3 separate regions of the Mus musculus genome follow, and all the other regions are reported to be linked to region 3. Evidence: microRNA targets listed by miRTarBase, many of them from high-throughput screens and not tested one by one. Region 3 holds a microRNA gene; each other region holds the end of a gene's coding sequence.
Evidence for each region. The annotated mature microRNA mmu-miR-135a-5p reads UAUGGCUUUUUAUUCCUAUGUGA and lies in region 3 at 2,129-2,151, shown strand. An mRNA with a match to its seed (bases 2 to 7 or 8) in the 3' UTR can be bound and repressed. Matches are read on the target gene's strand: a 7mer-m8 pairs with bases 2 to 8, a 7mer-A1 pairs with bases 2 to 7 and ends in A, and an 8mer does both.

Region 1 (4,214 bases), not on the chromosome of region 3:
TAACAGTTAAACATGTTCTTAGTCCTATGGGTCTGTGTCTGAGAAATTCTGTTATTTGTTGAAGAGTTGAATACTGCAGATGTGTCTTTTAATACCATATGTGAGTGCTTACTGGTTTTCTGTAGTTTAAGTAAGTCTTATGTGTTTCTGCAGTTAAGCTTTTTATTGTTAAAGTTAGTGTGGACTGTTGACTGTTCAAGAGCGATTTGCTTTGCTGCCTGTTCATTTCCAGGGCTGGGGAGCAGAGTACCACCGACAGGACGTCACCAGTACTCCCTGCTGGATTGAGATTCACCTCCACGGGCCTCTGCAGTGGCTGGATAAAGTCCTTACTCAGATGGGCTCTCCGCTGAACCCCATTTCTTCTGTTTCATAGTGCAGAAGTATTCTTTCAACTATATTTTTAGTGGACTTGTTTTAATTTTAGAGGAATTTCCAGTACAGATGCTGTGAGCTGACATGGAAAACAGATATTATTTTTTCTACGTAATTGTGACCAACACATTTGTATTTTATGATGATATTACATTTGTTTGTATTCGTGTTCATTGTGATTAACTTTCAAAAGTATTGTAAACGATGTAGAGTATTTTGCCCCTGTTGAAATGTTTAGCATTGATCTTAAACTGGAACGTACTTTTTCTTATTGTCCCAACGTTTTTTAATTTGTTAAATTTTTTTTACAAAGTAGTTCATCACATAATGAAATTTTATCCTATAAGAGAACATATATTGTGGAAAGCAGTAGATGATATTTCTCTGGGAATTTCTTTGCCTTACCACCTTTGAAAAAGCATACATTGTTTGCAAAACCTCAAAGTAGGGCTTGCTTAAAGGAAACTGTTGAATCTTGTTTGAAGGACACTGCAGTCCTAACGTGTTCAGTGAAAGCAAGGTGGTAGATTTCTGGACGTCATACATTTACATTTAATATAGGTAATATTCATCAGTGTAATGTGACTTCATGCCATATATATTTTGTAAAACAATTCCTTTTTAAAAACTTCAAGTATTTCTCATTTACTCAAATTTGTTGTAAGTCCTACTTAACAGTTAGTTACTATGTGCTCTGTGGCCTTGTTCAGCATTGTTTGCTGCTTTGGGCCAACAATTCAAGAACTCTAATTTTCCTGTGCATTAATCTTTTCATTTTGCACTTTTATGGGTGACTGTCTTAGTGTAGCCTCTGGTAAAATACTATTAGGTGGCCTGGTTTTAGAGCTCCTCCTCGCTGCCTTGGCACTCCTTTGTGCAACACGACCACTTAGAGATGACAGCTGTGAGCTGTGCTGCTTTTTCTAGCCTTTAATTTCCAATGTAGTTTATAATGTTGTTCTTCTATAGCTCCAGCTAAGGTGCCTGTTAGTCCCCTACAATGTTATGAGCATTATTGACATTGAAAGGTTATGTATGTATGAATACCTTTGCTCCTTACCAGACTTGTCATACAAGGACTCGTGCAGTGTAGCCAGTAGAGGCTCTTTGGTTGGCCCAAGAATGAGGCTGTTGGTGTAAGTGAATCACAATAGGGATTGGGATAGTTCATGTCATATGTCATATAGCAAGACAATGTAGAGTGTAGGCTTGTCTCTCTGCATCAACGCTCTGCCTCTTTCTTTTTATCCTTTTAGAACCTACATGGACGCTAATCTCCACAACACTGTTGGATGTGAACACTCTTAAGACACTCATCTAGTTCACTGTGCCTTGTCCTTAGGACTCTTAACCACTTTCTAGGGAGCAGTTATGGCCTGAGATGGACAGTCATGGCCTGAGAATGAAGACACTACTTTGATAAAGAAAAAGGCCTCATTTGCCTATCAGAGTGAGAAAGGTTTTTTTCTGGTGCCTTTTGAAAATATACAGAGCCACTTGGTTCTTCTGCTGAAAATGTAATTTTGGTTTGACTTTTTAGAGTGCCCTTCCTGCCTTTATGAGGAAAACAGCTATTTTTTTTTTTGGGGGGGGGGATTCCTTTTGTTTTCTGTGCCATTATTTATTGCCTTTCAGAGTGCAACCATTGGGTGGCTTTGCTCCTTCAGAGAGGGCTCCTTGATAGCCTTCAGTAGCTTGAGCTGTAGACATAAGTATTCCATAGCAAGAGTGTGTCAGCTCCATGAGAGAGATGTCTGCTTTATAGCCGAGGCAGAAACCGTTCATGTTCCTTTACTTGGCAGCCTTCAGGAACAGGTTTGTAAGAACGTGTCTTGAGTTGAGTGAGTGTATGTCTGTGAGCTCTGCTGAAGTCTGGACACAAGGGCCTTGCCTGCTCCTTTTTTCAGCAGTGGGTTACATGTTGTCTCTCCACAGTCTTCATGTCATAGGTCTCGGACTTGCAGAGTCCTATGTGGCCTGCCATCTGTACAGTGGCAGGACTGAAGCTCTGAGCTGTTCTGAGGTTCATGGAGAAATCCCAACCTATTCTGTGGTCAGTAAATGGAGACTGTGTAGTCTACCTGCTCCTGTACTGTCCTTACTGTATGTAAGGATATACAGACGCCTGTGGGTAGGCAGTACTCACAGTGAGATGAAGACAGCAAGTGTGCACTGAACCACAGAGGGCAGGGAGTAGGGCCTCTGAAGAAGCCACCAGACCAGACCAGTGCCGGTACAGTCTTTGTCAGAGATGGCTCTGATGGGGCCCAGACTGACCCTGACCATGCTGAGTTGCTGAGGGTAGCCTTCAGTTCTCTACCCTCTGAAGTGCTAGGATGACAGACATCCGCCATCATACCCAGCTTCCGTGGTGCTAAGGATCAGCCTCAGTCTTCAGGCGTGCTAGGCATGTACTTTGCCAAGTATTTAGTATACAAAATACATTAGTATCTGCCAGGGAAAAAAGATTTGCAAATAATAAAGATTGCCATCAGTTTGATAAATGTTGTAAATGGAAGAATCAAAATCTCAGCGATGGATTACAGCAACAAGATGCTGCCTAGGAAAAGCAGGACCAAGAGGTACATTTGACTAGTATACCTTCAGCGTAGCGTGATGACCTCACTGATGTCACCCAACTGAACTTAAGGGCTGTAAGTAGGCGTGCTGTGGGCCTTCCAGAACTAGAGAAAATTATAGGAGGAAGTCAGTTCTAAAGTATCAAAAGCTGGGTAATGGTGGCACATGCCTTTGATTCTAGCACTCGGGAAGCAGGGGCTAGCCTAGTCTACAGAGCAACTTCTACACAGAGAAACTGTCTTGGAGGAAAATAAAAAAAGAAAAGTCAAAGAGCAAACAAATAGAACAGAGTAGGAATCCGTGTCCCCTTTTTTCTATGTTTCACGGTTGCAGGTGTAAGAAAAGTAGTCATAGATGTGGCTGAGTTTCTAAGATGAAACCAGTAGTAAGATTGCTAAATATAACACTTCAACCAAGTTAAACACCCTTTGGGGGTATGAATGAAAGTAACACTGCAATATGAAATGAACCGTGCAAGTAACACTTGGGGTTACCTCACAGTCTCCCTATGCCTGAGAGGACTGTGGGAAACATTTCCATCCCCTGCCAGTATCGCCATTGGGAGGACAGAGTAGATGAAGAAGTGAAGTCTTACTGGTCCAGGGCACGCCTGTCAGCAATGCCATTTGTGCTTCTGCCACAGAGAGCACCGAGAGGCTTGGCTCAGTATCCTCGAACCTTCTCTGGTCACTTCCCTGGCAGCACTTGGGTCCCTGTCACTCACTGGTCTCTTAAAAGTCCCGTCTCTTTGCTTCCTAAAGATTCTCTAAAAAAATTACTATTTTTTATTTCTTTTTTAAAAGTCTTTGTTATTTTGTTTTGGGATACAGTCTCTTTGTACAGTCCTGGCTGGCCTGGAAATTACTATGTAGGCCAGCCTCAAACTTGAAGTAATTCTCTTGCCTCTGCCTCTGGAGTTCTGGGATTACAGGCATGCACTGCAGAGTACAGTGAGCTCTGATGGCTTTTAAAATTCAGCCCCTTTGAGGGTTTGGTTTTAGATCCATTAGCTTTGTCTGAACCCATCTTTGTCCGGCCGAGTAAATCCTCTGCTATCCGGGGTCTCGGTAGAAATGTGTTCTCAGTATACATACGACTAAACATTGGTTGTTTATAGGTAGCCTCAGATATTTGGTAGAGCATCTTTTTTGAAAGTAATCTCCAGCTAGGTGGGTATTTCCCTCACAGCAGTAGGATTTTCCCTTTAGGAGATACCAGTTCTTCATCTTTCTTGTGAAAATAATGCCTTTATGGGGAGT
Region 2 (4,241 bases), not on the chromosome of region 3:
CCGGAAGTCAGGAGCTTCGGCGATTTGCTTAGCTCTGGCTGGTGCCTCCTTTGGGAAATCATACATATGTCCCAGTCTTCCCATGGCCCCCTATTCTGAAGAAAAAAAAAAATGTCCTATTTTCTTGTAAGCTGCAGGTCCTTCACAGATCTTATCTTCAGGCTTCACTTTTCTCATTTAAAAAAAGTATCATAACTCTACCCTGGGTTCTGAGAATCCTAGTCAGTCAAGGTCAAATAAAAGACAGGTATTTGGTGCTATGACTGGGTGTTATGGTCTGGAATCAACAGTTTTGGTGGCAACCACTTGTATCCCAGCGCGGGAAGATAGACGTTAAGTTTGAGGCCAGCTTGTGTTACATAAGTCCCAGGCCAGCCAGAGCCACTCAATGAGAGCCTATCTTTAATCAAAGCCAGAAACAGGTTAGAACCAGTCCTAATAATAAACCTTTGAAATCTCCACTAATAGGTGAACTATGGGGTGTGCATGGAAAGATACATGACCCACACTACATGGAGGAGTCTAGTAAACGGAAGAATCCAGACTCAGGCTCAGGCCTTACACCTGTTTCTTCGAGACAGGGTTTCTCTGTATAGCCCTGGCTGTCCTGGAACTCACTTTGTAGACCAGGCTGGACTCGAACTCAGAAATCCATCTGCCTCTGCCTCCCAAGTGCTGGGATTAAAGGCATGTGCCACCACGCCAGGCTCAGAAATGTCTTTGAGTTAGCTAGTGTTAGTGGCTGTAAATGTGTTAAACACAAAACAAAACCATTTAATTAAACACTTACAAAAATGTGGTCTGGCCAGGTATGGTAGTACACAGGAGGAGCTCTGTGAATTGGTGGCCAGTCTGGTCTACATAGAAAAATCCTGTCTCCAAAAAAAAAAAAAAAAAAGAAAAAAAGAAAAAGTTTTGTACTGCTGGGCACTGAGCTCTAAGCCTTGGGCATGCCAGGAAAACTCAACTGCTGAACTACCCACCTGATTCTAACATTTTAAACTGTAGGTCACAAAATAAAGATCAACATTTGAACAAGTTCTCTGTGCTGGGGACCATCTTCACTAGATTTAGCATCCTCCTGACTCCCCACAACCCGAGGCACTCGCTTCTACTGGCCCTTCTGAGCCACAGCCTCTGAACACTTACAAAACCATGACAAGGCACCATGGTTTCACTGAGATGCGAGGGAAGGCACGGAGGTCAGGCAACCTTATCTCCTGAAAAGAAAGAGTCGCCCTGGAACCCCAGCAATTGGCCAGACAGAGCTCCCCTTCAAGGCGACCAGGGAGAGGGGGGTTAAGTGGCCCTGCCCTGCAGCCTTATCTCATCTCATAGCTGACATTTGGGAAATTTGCTTTGCCACCTAACCTTGGCCATGGCCCAGGCATCCAAAGATTTCTCTGGACTCTGACCTGCTTGTGTCTGGATCTCCATCCTCACTTTGTCTTCTCTGCCATACTGTTAGCACTGTTCTCTTCCTGGGAGGTCTCTACAGAGCCTTCTCATCCTTTTCCCTCCCCAGCACAGAGCTCTGCACTTATGTGTGTTCCTGTGATGTTTGTGAAAATATTAAGGGTTATTGTGAAGTGGGAGGTATGGCCAGCTTTCCTGCCACATCACATCTCTTTACACTTATGTGAACTTATTTCACATGCATGTATACACACGACCTGTGTGCCCAGAGGAGGGCAACAGATCCCCTCCATAGACATGCTAGGAACTGAACCTGACTACTCTGTGACCAATGATCTCTCCACCTCCAGCATCCCTCTCACAGCTGCCACCTGTTCACCAGAGGAAAAATCAATTAGCCTGCAACAGAGCACATCTGCCTATACCCACTCGCTATCCTACGACAAATAGCTTCCTGACAGCTGGTTTACTTTGCCTTCATTCGATTTAATTTTCAAACCAAACCTTAGAATGACAATTGATCGTCGGAACTAGAACCATGATGGTATACCACCTGCCATGGAAATGGCACCAAACATTGGGAGAGAGAAGGTTTCACAAAGGATCAGGGTTAAAGGGTGAGTTGCAATGGAGCCATAAGCCACACTCGCACAGGGATATTAAGGGCAAATCTAAAATTCCTCAGAGCCAATGCAAGTGGTCAAGAACACAATGCCAAAGGGACCTTACTTTTTAATAAAAATATTTTATTAACTACCTAATACAAAGTGATAGGTTTCATAAGTATATTAGGATCTTAAGAATTCCATATACTCGAGCGGGGCCAGAGCAGGGCCAGAAGCAAGCAGAGGTCCTGAGTTCAATTCCCAACAATCACATTATGGCTCATAACCATCTGTACAGTTACAGTGTACTCATATACATAAAACAAATAAATCTTTAAAAAAAAGAATTCCATTAAACAAGACAGACAGACACTTCTGCAGACATAGCTTATTTAGTCCAACAAACTTGGTTTGTATTTTTTGTACAGGGTTTTGCTGTGTAACCAAAGCTGCCTTCACACTCTCATAAGCCAGGCTGCCTTGAATTCAGAGGTCCTCTTGCATCAGCATCCCAGGTACTGTGTATGTATTTTCATCACATATACATTATAAGGCCCATCTGCTCATTGTCTGTGTGTGTGCCACTAGTGGATCTTTTGGTTTGTTTTTTTGCTCTTTTTTGATATAGGGTCTTACCATATAGCCCAGGCTGGCCTTGATCATGATTCTCTCCAGACTCCCAAGTGTTAGGATTATAGTAGTATACCATGATGACTGGCATGGGTGAATATATTTTATTAATGAAAAATATATTTTATTAATGAAAAATGGGGTGGAATACTATGCATTTTTGAGTAATATTGCCTTGAGGAGGAGATATAATTTAATTTTCAAACTACATTTTAAAATAGTGTTAAGTAGCCAGGCAGTGGTGGCGCATGCCTTTAATCCCAGCACTTGGGAGGCAGAGGCAGGCAGATTTCTGAGTTTGAGGCCAGCCTGGTCTACAGAGTGAGTTCCAGGACAGCCAGGGCTACACAGAGAAACCCTGTCTCGGAAAACCAAAAAGAAAAAAAAGTGTTAAGTAATTAGGACTTAATTTTTTTTTTATGTTTATGTATATCTTTATATCTATATATGCCACATGTGCTAAGGTACCCAATGAAGCCAAAAGAAGGTGACAGATCCCCAGGAGCTGTTATAAGCAGTTGTGAGCTGCCTGATGTGGGTGCTAAAAAGTAACCTCTATAAAAGCAGCAAGCATATTAAACTACTGAACCATCTCTCTGCAGACCATTTCTGAAAATTTTATGTATTTTGTAACATGTTATGTATGAGCTCAAGTGAAGGTAAGAGGCCAACCTTCAGGAGTGTGTTCCAGGGATGGAATTCAGATCATCATGCCTGGCAGCAAGTGACTTCATTTACTGGGCCACTTGCTGGCCCTGCCCTGTTTGTGCTTGAGGCAGAGTCTCTCTCTACACAGAAGAGGCAGGCCCTCAACTTTCCATCCTTCTTCCTCAGCCTCCTGAGTGCTGGGATTACAGGGGTGTGCCACCATGTAAGGTCAATTCGGTTTTTAGTTAGTGATATCTTTCTAAAGTAAATGCCTCACTATTTAAGCTATAACACTGGAATACCCATTAAGAATGGCAGGCTTTCCACACATGACAATATCACTTTATACAGAAGGAGAATACATGTTTAGGCTTTCTTTAGCAGGAGTGCTGGTAACTGGATTTGAGCATTGGCGTGTTGAATTTCATCATTGGAAAACCTAAACTGAACACTTTTAGGATCATTATCTAACAATTTTTTTTTTTTTTTGGCAGAGGCTTAAGACATACACTGGCTTCTAACAAACTGAAAAAAAAAATCCACGTGCCGGGAAGGGAGCTCACTGCACACCACAGGGCCCTTAGAAACCGAAGCACAAGGCGACGCATGGGAAACTTCAAACAGGCAGCTTCAAGATAGACTTAATTTTTCATGATTCTCCCAAAGCCAGTCATGGTATTTATTTAACTTGTGGTCTTCAGGGTGCACCTGGAAGAAATGCAACATTCAGCCATAGACATGTTTAAAGGTTTAGTGAGGGGGTTCATCATGATAATATACCTGAGATAAACGGGACATGGAACCCCACAGCATCCAAGACTGTATATAGTTATACCTTATACAACAGATATCCTACATGGATTACAAAGTGCTCTCCAGTTCAGAACTAACCCAGACCTGGAGCAGAAGGCAGCGATGATTAGAGACCCTGTGAAGCTAACC
Region 3 (4,244 bases):
GTGAGAACAGGGAAAGTCAAGTGTCTTTGTGAATCACAGAGAAAGAATGCAGGGGGAAAAAACCCCCACACATCTGGTCTCAGGCTTTGATTTCCCACACAACCAAGTCACAGGATCGCCATGCCAACCTTAAGCAATTTTGGCTCCCAGCAATCCTGTGCTGGAGAATCTTTCGAACTACCCTTCAATCCTGGTCCAAAGGGCCACAGCCCAGACTAGGAGAAAGAGTGCATTATCTGAGAAAAGGCCAGGCTGCTTTCCCATTGGTGTATGTGTTTGGTGCCACAGCTAAGCATCACTGGGGTCTAATACGTGGATGATCCCCCTTTATGGAGTGACGGGACTCCTGAGGAAAGGGCAAGCACTGACTGAAAAAAAGAGTCATTCTTCCATGTGTTCTCAAATAAAGAACAAGGCAGGCCTCTTTGATAGCTTCTGAAAGAGAAGAGGCACGCTAGAGGAGATGAGCCAGCTGGGGGTGGGTTATTTTGGGGAGGGGAGCCAGCTGGGGGAAGAGGTAGAGTAAAGCCAAGGCAGAAAGGTGGAGGTAGATGAGCAGCTGTGTTTATTTTAATACATATCATTTAACCCTCACCTGAAAACAAATTGGAGAGGCTTGGGAGTGCATTAATCTGGACCCAATTAGCATGTCTTTCCCCTTCAAAAAGTGCAACCTGAGATTAATGAACATCAACCAGAGTTTCAGAAGCAGCATTTAAATCATTTGCATGTTTGTGCATGATAATTGGATTTATGTATGCACTTCCTTCCATTTAACTATTTCCAGTCACCTTATGATTCATACAACCCAAAACTTCACTATAGTGATTTCTAGGTAGAAATAGCTTGCCTAGCATTCTACCCCTTAAGGGGAAAACCTCAAGTGGTTGGGGTTTTGTACATTTGAACTTGAATAGCACATTTCTTTCTTTCTTTCTTTTTCTTTTTAAGTGCAGAGGGCAGTTGATAATAGTGTAGACCGCTGCTGCTTCTGGAGTTGGTAAATAGGCACCTCAGAATTATTTATTTATTTTTGAAAGGCTAGAAAAATAAGGAAATTTCCTACATCAAGTTTTCAGGGCTTCGGTGCAGCACACTGGTGAGAGTTTTATAATGCCAGGAACAAGGCCACTTGAGATAATGCAGCGTGAGAAATGTTCTTGGCGGCCTCTGTACCTGTGGTACTTAGATCACAGAGACATCAGCAGCCAGGATTGTTTCTGGCTTAGTTAGAAACTTGTTTCCATAGAAAGAGGTAGGAATGTCCTCAACGTCTGTGAACTCCTGCGGACAGGCAAGGAGCACTTGTGGACCCTTGATGTTGTGGGTTTGATCCTTCTCATTCCCTTCCTCCCTCCCTCCCTCCCTCCTTCCTTCCTTCCTTCCTTCCTTCCTTCCTTCCTTCTTTCCTTCCTTCCTTCCTTCCTCCCTCCCTCCCTCCCTCCCTCCCTCCCTCCCTCCCTCCCTCCCTCCCTCCTTCCTTCCTTCCTTCCTTCCTTCCTTCCTTCCTTCCCTCCTTCCTTCTTTGCTTTCTTGCTTCCTTCCTTCCTCCCTCCCTCTCTCCATCCTTCCCTTCCTCTCTTTTTCTCTTTCCTTTTTAGGTTATTTGGGTATAGACAGCTTAATTATAACACAGCACATGCAGGTCTTATGTTCTTCCTTTCTACTTGGTACCACATGAAATATCTGAACACAGTGAATGTATAAGAAAGCATCTATGGGAGAAAGTACAAGCAGGAGGCTTGAAATTATTCTCCTGGCTTCAGTTCGTACATTGATTTGTCTGTCTGCTGTCTTTCCTTATGTGTTTCCAAGTTCAATGTCCAAGTGATGAGCTTTTCTCCAGGAATTCTCCCCAGTGTCCTTTGTTTCTGGTGACATTCCATGGTTGAATGTTACTGAGTGTCTCCTGGTCTTGTTTCTGGTCCTCGTAGCGAAGAATGTCATTGAAGGATAAAATCTTGTTAATTTGTGATGTTACAATCTAAGTGTGCTTTGTGTCCCTTACATGTAGCCTAAAATGTTCCTTAATGTAGCATGAAATGATTGGTTAGCTTGGAAATGGTTTTGAAGTCGTGTGAAGAAAATAAGTTTTACATCCGACCAAGATAAATTCACTCTAGTGCTTTATGGCTTTTTATTCCTATGTGATCGTAATAAAGTCTCATGTAGGGATGGAAGCCATGAAATACATTGTGAAAATTCATCAACTAAGAAGGGGCCATCAGGATAGCAAACTATAGCCTGTGGACCATGCTGGAGACGTGAGCTAGTGGACATCTCTGCTTCCCTCTTTGGTGTTCCTTGAGTGTCTTTATCCTTAGGCATTGACAGCTAAGGACTGGAAGTTTCGAGAGCTTTTTCATCTTCCTGACCACCGATTAACATGCACATTCGACTTTGCGCATTTCTGTCTATCATACATTTTTTTCCCTCCGTATTTTCTACTAACGATCATGCTCTGGGAGAACGTTAATAGCCCACTCACTTGTAGGCAGCATTCAAACCTTCTGTGGCTTTTGCTCGACAACTTTTGAGGTCTTTCTTCTGAAAACAAAGAAGAAATAGACAAACCAGATTTGTCCTCTTGGAAATGTGGTCCAGATTTCTCTACTCCCAATCTCCAAAATAAAGGTATACCTCGCATGGGCTAGTGCCATACCCAGATCCAAAGATTTAGTCATTTTCCCTTCACAGGTGTGTATAGTGAAGCTTTGAAGGGGGGAGGTTGGGTTCTACTATCTTCACCAAGTCAGCTGCGTTAAAGGGTCGTATGAATTAAACTGGGGGACTCAATCCTTGTCTTTAAAAATAGGGGGGGTGGTGATACCATCATTATTATAAGGGTTAAATAAAGTGACATATCTATACTTGACTTAACACAGTATTTCGCCTTGACTCTGTTTTTAAAAGCTCATGAAATACTAGTTTTTCTCCCTTCCCTCCTCCTCTTGTCCCTTTCTCTCCCCCGCCTTTACCCTTCCCTTCTTCAGATGTTAGTCTATCTAGAACAACAGATTTGGATCTAAGCTGGACCTTTGAGAAAGAAAAGACTTCGAGGAAAAACACCTTTCCATATGTTTTATTACCTTTCACCTGAATTGTTTAATGCACACTATCCAACTATATTCATCTTTCTTGCTTCATGTGTATTTCTTCTTTTGCTTGAACTGCTTTAGAATTGACTTTTGAGCTACACAGTCATTCTGGATTTTTAAAAAGAGAATTCTAATAAAAACTTATATATGTTGTTAACTTTTGTCTCTCTGTTTTCTCTATACAATAAGATAGTATTCTGTGTTTTATTAGTGTCTTTCTGCTTTAAGAGGCAAATGGTAATTCACCTTAGAAGGCTCTTGCTGCGGGGTGCCAAGAGTTTCCCTTCTTCCTCATAGTTCACTGTCTGTCAGCAAATGGGAAAAATTGCCAGGGTAATTGTAACCTTGATGGTTACTTATCTTTGAAATAACTAATCTATAGACTTTGAAAACCACCCAAGTCCGTAGAATAAATGTGGGTAAGCAAGAGCACACATAATGGAACTTTAAATAAATTCCACAGTAATGGAATTGAATCACCATCAAAACAGAATATAGTGAGAACATTATATAGTTAAATACTTGATTTGCACCCAGAACATTTTTATTATCATTTGAGGTTTTTTTTCAATCCATTGTTCACTCTTACCTCAGTTTCTCTTTAATGGCTCCAATGTTGATGAGTATTTGAAGAACTGTAGACCCATGAATGGAAAAAGAAGACACAAGGAAGAGGGGAAGAAGAAAACAGGGGAACTATAGAGTAATGAAAGGAGCAAAAGACTTAGTCACATGAAAACATACTGTGTTTAAGGTAGGGAAGGAAGACATGTTTGTAATACAGTAGTTAGCGCTAGGCCACTCAAGATAGATGGTACCTCAGATAAACTTCAGGTATGGCCCTACACAAGGGAAGTTTCCTAGAATTGAGGGGGCGGGGTGACCACAAAATCTATATTAGCAGCCCAAGCAACTGGCACATTTCCATAGGCCAGAGTCAAAGACTTCAAATTAATTTTTCAAGAAATATATGAAACGTGTTTACGAATGTTTCTTGGAAAATTTTCCAACATGCAAAGTATTCTACCCTAGAGAATATATTTACTTCTAAAAATCTTCACAAGTATCATTAAAAGCAGAGAGTGGATTTTAATGGACACTGTTAGATTAATTAATTACTGCTGTGTCTCAGTGGGATGCAATTAG

Region 1: miRTarBase lists Smad5 as a target of mmu-miR-135a-5p. The part of its 3' UTR that is shown has no 7-base or 8-base seed match.
Region 2: miRTarBase lists Mbd4 as a target of mmu-miR-135a-5p. Seed matches in the 3' UTR shown: 7mer-A1 at 2,296-2,302.

The regions. Positions count from the first base shown.
Region 1 is chr13:56,737,103-56,741,316 of GRCm38, forward strand. It overlaps Smad5 (SMAD family member 5), which reads left to right. Exons shown (of 7, transcript NM_008541.3): 7 at 233-4,214. The coding sequence ends at 376. Among named protein-coding and RNA genes, the nearest start is that of Gm45623, 15 kb to the right of the region's middle.
Region 2 is chr6:115,838,556-115,842,796 of GRCm38, forward strand. It overlaps Mbd4 (methyl-CpG binding domain protein 4), which reads right to left. Exons shown (of 8, transcript NM_010774.2): 8 at 2,142-4,007. The coding sequence ends at 3,930. It also overlaps a transcript of Efcab12 not described here. Among named protein-coding and RNA genes, the nearest start is that of Efcab12, 2.3 kb to the left of the region's middle.
Region 3 is chr10:92,070,048-92,074,291 of GRCm38, reverse strand. It overlaps Mir135a-2 (microRNA 135a-2), which reads left to right and starts at 2,107; the gene lies at 2,107-2,206.